Neurospora crassa OR74A: one gene and its partner. The protein of the gene in region 1 interacts with the protein of each later gene in a biochemical or structural test. Links are inferred from orthologs where the notes say so. Each region holds a gene or a part of one and is shown on either strand. Other genes may lie near its edges.

Region 1 (4,160 bases):
GACCCCATAATGCCACCTGGAGAGGATGAACCGCAGCTTCCGCATTTGCCTGGCGGTCCTCAGGGTGGCCGTGACCTCTTGCGCTGTACTCCTTCCGGCGAAGCTGAAATGACTGCTACCCAGGCTGCGGCCGAAACCTCCCAAGTAATGCGCGACGCTCTAGATCGCGACGGCCACAACTTCCTGGCTTACGTCAATATGGTAGCCAAAGCCAGAGGGGAGACGCGGTCCCTCGGCGGCGGCGGTGCTCCACCCTCTTCTTCCCATGCCCACGGAGACGGAAACGACAGACTTCTCAGACAGTGGGTTGCCTTTGACGAGCTGTTGGATGAACCTAGAGACAGAACCCGACAGGTGGCGACTCAGGCTTTCTACAACGTCTTGGTCCTCGCGACCAAAGACGCAATCAAGGTGGAGCAGGACATGGAGGGCTTCCAGCCGTTTGGCGAAATTCGCGTGGGCGTTGAGGTGTCGGAGGCTGAGATGCTGGCTCTGATGGAGGAGGATGGTGACGAGTGAAGTGGCTGATGCGGAGAGTTTTGCAAAGAATGCACACTTATCGGTGCAATCGGTGCGAGTCTTGCGGTTCTTTTCTTTATTATTATTTCTCGGTTCGGGTTGTCGGGTGGGTAAATGGGAAACGGGATGCTGTGCTCCCCTACACTGTGGGATCATGATTGAGTAAAGGGCCAGATGAGATACCATTTTGATTGGTTTGCTAAGCAATCATGCCTCTGACAAAAGCCATCTGGCGCATGCGGAAGATAGGATCACAGTTTCTGCGGAGGACATAGGGAGCTGATCTTCGGAGAAGTATAGGAAGGGGACAACGGACTTCAGGCAAACGGCAACTTTGCAACACGCTGGGGCTCACTTTGACAGAAGATTTGGCGACTGAGGAATTCACAACAAATCAGCTACCAGATAGCAGTGAGATGGATTGGCAATCGAATAATAGAAGTAAATTGAGATTAATCTTTTTCAAGTATGTTACGGAGTGTGCGGAGGGCGGTGCATAAGACAGTAAAGAGACCAGCCCTTACCATGGTCGTCACCAAGAATCATTCATAATCATCATCATCCACGGGTTCACGATCAGTGAAGACCATGTACTCTGCATCATCAACTGCGCCGCCAACGACCTTCTTCCACGCCTCACGGACATGATTCAGCGATGCATCGTCCATCAAGAGGGAAAGAGATGGGCCTGGCAGATCAAGAATCAACCCATCAAGTCGACTTTGCTTGACACCAGCAGCCTGTTCATAGTATAACTGATACAAGCACTGGGGGACTCGATCAGGGTCCACAGCGGAAAGCAAGGATTCAAGAGAGCGACTCAAGATCTCCTTGGAGTTAGGAGTCACCATTGTGGACAAGTATAAGACACCTGTTGGTTTCCAGTCAGCCATTTGCGCGTAACAAGTTATGAATGATGCGGAAGGGTTGAACGGATGAGAGTACGATCAGAATGTCAGAGGTATTTATCGTCAACGCCGAAGCTTGGACAATGTAGATAAGTATTCAAGATGTGGATCATCATAGTACTCGAAATGGGTAAATTGAAGGGAGCAAGGAAATAGATAAAACTTACTCTGACCATTGGGACATTCGCCAGTGCCGCTCGAGTGAGCGAAAACATAGACTGGGTCAGTGTTTGCTTCGCCAGGTGTTGTTAGTGAACCCGGAGGCAGAGCGACGACCGCAACGCAGGGAGTCGGCGCCCCGTCGACGGTAGACTCAAACAAGGTCTTGAGCGGAGAATCAACAACGGCCACTAGCCTGCTGATGCTCGGCTCGTCACCAACGCTTTCGTCTCCACGCACGAGCAACTTGGTTTTCACCTTGTCGCCGCTGGTCAACTCGAGCTCGATCTCGTCAGTAGCAGTCTCCATTGACTTGATACCAGCGCCAAGCATGTAGACAGCACCACCGACCGCACCGGCTCTACAGGCGACCTGGGCAATCTCGGAGATACCGCCCCATTTGGGATAGAGAGCAGCAAAGCCGGGGCCAAAGTGACCCATAGAGGTAAGATGGCGATGGACGATGAACAATCCATCCTCGGTAGTGATGCGGCCATCCAGCGAAAGCGTGAGGGTGATGATGTAGGTCTTGAGCTCGGTATCCATCTTGAAGTGCTCCTGTAAGAAGTCCACCAAGGGTTTATCGGCAAAAGGCTTCCAGGCATCTCTCTGCTCCGGACTGTCGTAGTCCAGCACAAACCGTAGAAACTTCATCAGTCCGCGCTTCGCCTTGGCCGATATAGCAGTAGTTGAAAAGACATCTTCGCGGGTGGAAGGAATGCGGACAAGGCTGGGTTGCTGTTCAGGGCCGACAGGTGCTTTGAAAATGTAGAACGATCCGACGGCGAGGAATTCCACCTGCCGGTACGCCCGGGAAGAAACCAATTGAGATAGCAGCTCCGAGCGGGCGTGGATCAACTGCGGTGCCAGTGCCAGCGAGTACGCTCTGGGGAAGGAGAGACCCACGACATCCGGCTTGGTGATAGACGCGGACCTGAAGAGGCCTTTGTCCTCGGTGGCCAGACGGTCAACCCAGGACTCAGCTTCTTGCAGGCTGAAAGCCGCTTCCGCCCCGCCATAGTAGTCGTTGGGGTCTATGTGCAAAATGTTCTTGCCCGATCGCGAGAGGGATCTTCAAGGCGGAGAACAGCTATGTCAGTCGGTCAGTTAGACAGGAGAACGATGAAAGTCGGATGAAGAAGAGCGAAAGAAAAGTTTGCTTACAGTGCAAGCAGAGACTGCTGCAGTCCGGTGCCGCAGATGACGACATCCCAAAGGGTATCGCCGATAGATCCCATCGCCATGACTAGGGACTCTGTGGTTCGCGGAACTGCCAGTCTGTTGGGAAGTAATAACTTGGGAAAAAGAACGAGGGTTGCAGCGGCAATTTTGAAATGAAGTTAAAGTTTGGTGCTTGCGGAGCCGGCAGTTCCTCGGACCGGTGTGGCTTTTTGAATCGGCCCCGCCCAAGCTTTCGTTTTTGTGGGTTTCTGTTGTTCGTCCCCCGCCTGACAAACGGGCAGACGCACGGGCCACTGGCGAAGCTTCGAAGTGGTCAAAACTCGACGTCCATCCACCCCAAATTTTCCTTTTTCTCTCATCAACCACTCAACGAAGAGACGCGGTTGCTGCTGCTGCTCTGCAGCCCAACAGTATCGCGGGAGTCTTGGGGGGCCTTTCATTAGGTTTCTCCGAAGTTGAGTGGCAGATTGATGCCACAAACAGCCCTTCTGTATCTCCTGCCTTAGAATCACCACATGTGAGGGCGGGTCGAACGATCGGCACATTTTTGCAACCATGCTATAAAAATTGCAAATGTCTTGACTGCTTTGCCAGCTCAACTCCGCGATGCCCAGAAGTTGTAGATGACTTTCCGACTCAGAAGCTCACACCTTTGCGGTTTTTATGCGCAGCGATGTTGTTAGCCGTCAAGTTATCTTGCATCATATCATGATGGCTTTGTGCGATCATCATCATTGATCACTATGTTGTACAGAGTCGTAACGGCTGAATTCGAAGCTGAACAGAGCGCTTTTGTTGTAGGATGTTCCAAGTGGGTATCCATTTACATCGCATTGCTCCTCGAGTACAAACAGGACAAGACAGGACAAGATGGTTTTGAATGGCACAGTCGCCCATCTCTCTCCGTAGAATTGGTGGTGTTTTATCCTCCTCCGGCCGCAACCAGGGTGCATCCAACATATGGGTATCTTCTTCGTACTCTCTGTCTCTCTGTCCATTGGCATGACCAAGCCGAGGTTCTCCGTCGAGATAATATTGACTCCTGATAGATCATGACTTCATGCCCATAGTCGGTGTTTGAAACCCCAGAGATCCTATGACTGCATCTAGACAAGGCCCATCATCCATCTATCTTGTCGCCGATCAACGTCCTCCACATCCGCCCCGAGAGGATCGCCCATTTTCCGCCTGTAGGCCGGCAGCCAGCCATCAAACTCCCCATCCGTGAAAGAAAACTCAAACTCGTAGTCGCAGCTCCTTCATTACACCTACTTCGTGTTACGAAGGGGTCTAAATATGATTACTGTTAGTGATCATGCATGTGGGAGGAATGACCGCCTCATGTGTCAAAGCGTGAGATAAGAGATAGAACATACCCGCAACCTAGAGGAG
Region 2 (3,546 bases), about 4.5 Mb from region 1:
GAAAAGTGCAACAGCCACTCCCGCCCACTCAGCCAGCCGAGGGCACAAGAAGAACCCTCCCTCGTCAGGGGGCACACACACAATGGAAAGAACGGTTGATCACGAATCTGAGGACAGTTTGAGGAAGGTACAATGAGATTTGTGGGCACCTTGGTGCCTGAGTGTCAGTCGGTGGGCGAGGAAAGTGGGTGAGCTCGCCTGAGAGGGAAGGAACGAAGAAGACCCAACCATCACGGATTTGGAGGGGTGAGTCTGGAAGGTGAGTGTGCAGTGCGGTACTGTAACGTAATAAATCACGATTTCTGGAGGAAGTCGCAGGAAAAGTTGATTAATCTTCGGCCCCGAGAGGTGTCCAGGTTGCCTGAGAAAACTTGCTATCAGCTCATAGAACTCACTGTTGATGTCAAAGGCAAGTGTCGTTGGTGAGACTATTTCATGTCCCTGCATCTCAATCAACGGTAACGTAACAAACGGGCAACTTCTTCAAACTGTTCTCAATGATACCATCAAGTCAGCAACTAATTGTCCAATGGTAGGCGACCAAGCTGCGAGACGGGTAGATGCAGTAACAGGTCATTACATTCAAACAAAGCTCAAGGAACAATTCAGTTTGAAAGACGAAGGAAACGATGAAGGGATCATGGCTTTATGCCTTGGGTTGCAAATGTCAGAAGAATTGAACACACCAAAGAGTGCCAACAAGAACATCAAGGAGCAAAGGTAGACAATTAGACAGTGACAACACAAAGACAGAATGTGCGAGTGGTTCAAGTGACAGAAAATTGTATTATAGGAACACTATGGAATGTCCCCTACCTAACCATGTCGATTGATGTTGGGTACTCTCAAGCAACAATAAACCAGTAGGGAGTTACTCATCTGGGCTCCAAACGCCTCACATTCCCACTGAAGGGATGCAATAACGTCTTTTGCCCAAACGAGAACGATGTTTCTCTTCTCCCGCCTTGTATCCTGCCGACGCCTGGAGTGCGTGTCGGAAGGTTATTAGATGGCAGGAGGTAAGTTGTGTTGATATCCTGTGTCATGTCACGATGATGAGATTGATAGAAGGAGCCATCGTACTGTATTCCGACAACATCACACCACACTTAACGACCCAGGACACGCTTGATGGTCGACTTGGGCATGCAATACACCTCGTCAACCGGCTCCAAGCCCGGATAGTCCAGCAAACTCAGACCCGCAATACCAAAGCAGGTGTGCCAGACATCCACCATGTCGCCAGGCCTGTCCGAGATGCCACCCTTGTCCGTGTCTTGCGAGCTCAGGATGAAGCTGGTGAGCTTCGCCTTGTCGATCCAGTGCGTCTTGCCAATCATTTCCAGACTGCTCAGCACCCACCAGCTATAGCACACGTCCTCCTTCTTTTCCGGACGACCGTTCAAGCCGCCGCCAGCGATCTGCCTCTCACTCAACCAGCGGCCCAGGCGATCAACGTCAATGAGCTCCTTGCGGCCAGCAATGGTGAGGGCAGCGACGCACGTGAAGATCTGACCAGAGTGGGACTCGGCACCAGGGCTGACACCGTAGCCGCCGTCAAAGTTGGCGCACGCAGCAATGTGGTCAACGGCCTTGTCAACATCGACAAGGTGAAGGAGGCCAAGAAGAGAAAGGGCATTGAAGGCGCCGTAAAGGAAGCGAGTGTCTTCCTCACCCCACTCATCACCCGCAAACGTGCCGGTCTGGCGGTTCTGGAGGCTGGCAATATCTGGACCCGACAGTGTCAGTACAAAGTGTCAATGGGGGTTTACCTAGGTTTGATGACAAGCAACGCACACTTTCCGACCTGTGCCTTGCCCCGGCCACGCGTCTCGAGGTCATCAAAGGCGTCGACCATGGCGAGGATCTGCACGGCACTGACGGTGGACAGCATGTGGGCATCATGGCCGGGTGCCGCTCCGAAGCCGCCGTTCTCGTGCTGGCATGATAGCACAAAGTCGATGGTCTCAGCGCGCGGGAGAGCCTCGGGGTGGCCGAGGAGGTGCAGAGCGGTCAAGCCCCAGTAGAGGCCATTGAGACGCAGATGCTCCGTCAACCAGTAGTCATATTCGTCCTTTCGGGAGTCGAGACTCTGGATGTACTTGACGTGGGCAGAGGTTGCGAGCTGCAGCTCTTGCGGGAGAGAGGTGAAGCTTTGTGTCATGTTGGAGAATTTGAGGGTTTTATGTGTGGTGCGGTGGGTGGAAGCTTGGATGGGATTAGGCTGCATTCAAGGAACCAGCATTGTGGGAACGGAAGTCGGAAGTCGGAGTTACGATTGAACGATTCCCTTCAGCCTCCATTGCCCGCCGGTACTACCCCACCATAGATGGACGCTGAGGTCTTACTTACGTAATCGGTACTTGGCAGCCACACTGCACCATTCAGACGCCATGCCAAGAAATGCCCTCTCCAACTTGCTCAATCTGGAGGAGGAAAGGCGCAATGACAATTATCATCAGAGCTCCGACAAATTCATCATCTCTTGTGACCTTGGCAGATGCCCCAAAGGCGGGACACGCGTATTTGCGAGAGTCATTTGATTTTTGGGATCTCTCGCGAGTGCAAATGAGGTAAATGAGCTTCATCTCATGAATGTCGTGATTATTTTTAAATGAAGGGCTGATAGGTTGGGCAGCAGTCGTACCGAGTAAGTGTACAGTGCACCGGCGCTGAAGATGAGGATACGAACAGTCATCGTACAGGGGGGTGAAGGCATTTGTCTCTCCATCCAAATTGAACTGGAAGACATCCCTCACCACCCACTTGGGACATTGTCCACAGCCTGATGAGGCGTGACGATCTTGTTTCTCGAAAACAGCTGGTTGACATACGATGGCAGTTTGGAATGCCTGCTTGGGCCAATTTGCGCTTCAAGATGACGAATCTGACCGGCGCTTCGAATCGGTATCCTCTCGTTTACATGGGGGGGTAGAGTAGGGCACACCGGTGTCACAGCCGATTTGAGACCGTATCTCGAAGCGAACGTTGCGACCGTCAACGTCGATGACTGGCGCAAGTGCGCAACAACGTCCGGCCATCCAGCCTCTTCCACGGCCGTCAAATCGGAAAAAAGAATGCGGTCCAATGTTACGAGATCTGGCCAGGGTAAGTGCAGTGCAGCTTTACACTATGTAGTCCTTGCAGCAGATCACGGTCTCGTGCAATCATGATCGAGACGCCTTCGGTGACGGGTCTTGGCTTGGTGTTTTGGACTTTGCAACGTGGACTGCCCAGGTCGAATCTTGCCGTGATGCATCTATGTCACTTGTGAATCGAGACTCTTTAGTCCAGGAACGGGAGGTGGTGGCTGAAACCACCGGAAAGCAAGGCCCAAGTCTCCGGTAGAGTTCCAGACTTTTGATAGGTAGCTGTAGGGCATGTTTCGACGCGATTGTTTGCCCTTGATTCACATATTCAACATGATGCCGTCATATGATTCAACAAAAGACCTCAAAGTTTGGTGAAAAAAAAGAAAAGTTGCAGTGAAGCGCTGGAAGCAACGTTGAACCCGTCCTGTCGGATTGGAGACAGCGCTTGTCGCGG

What was found.
Region 2: the proteins of NCU03191 (region 1) and NCU07509 form a complex in vitro, tested with the Saccharomyces cerevisiae proteins (2 studies listed by BioGRID, with this or other methods). The link is inferred for Neurospora crassa OR74A from reciprocal best matches to the Saccharomyces cerevisiae genes MRS6 and BET2.

Annotation. Positions count from the first base shown.
Region 1 is NC_026501.1:4,857,963-4,862,122, forward strand, and holds NCU03191 (rab protein geranylgeranyltransferase component A), read right to left. Parts: upstream 2,831-4,160; coding exon 2,751-2,830; intron 2,659-2,750; coding exon 1,595-2,658; intron 1,391-1,594; coding exon 1,062-1,390; 3' UTR 1,044-1,061; intron 895-1,043; 3' UTR 625-894; downstream 1-624. Other genes in the region: NCU03190 (Rec8), read left to right, coding at 1-519; NCU03192 (hypothetical protein), read right to left, coding at 4,037-4,058, 4,145-4,160. UniProt on the Saccharomyces cerevisiae protein: Substrate-binding subunit (component A) of the Rab geranylgeranyltransferase (GGTase) complex. Binds unprenylated Rab proteins and presents the substrate peptide to the catalytic component B.
Region 2 is NC_026501.1:355,106-358,651, reverse strand, and holds NCU07509 (geranylgeranyltransferase beta subunit), read right to left. Parts: upstream 2,250-3,546; 5' UTR 2,231-2,249; coding exon 1,798-2,230; intron 1,730-1,797; coding exon 1,110-1,729; 3' UTR 761-1,109; downstream 1-760. UniProt on the Saccharomyces cerevisiae protein: Catalyzes the transfer of a geranyl-geranyl moiety from geranyl-geranyl pyrophosphate to proteins having the C-terminal -XCC or -XCXC, where both cysteines may become modified. Acts on YPT1 and SEC4.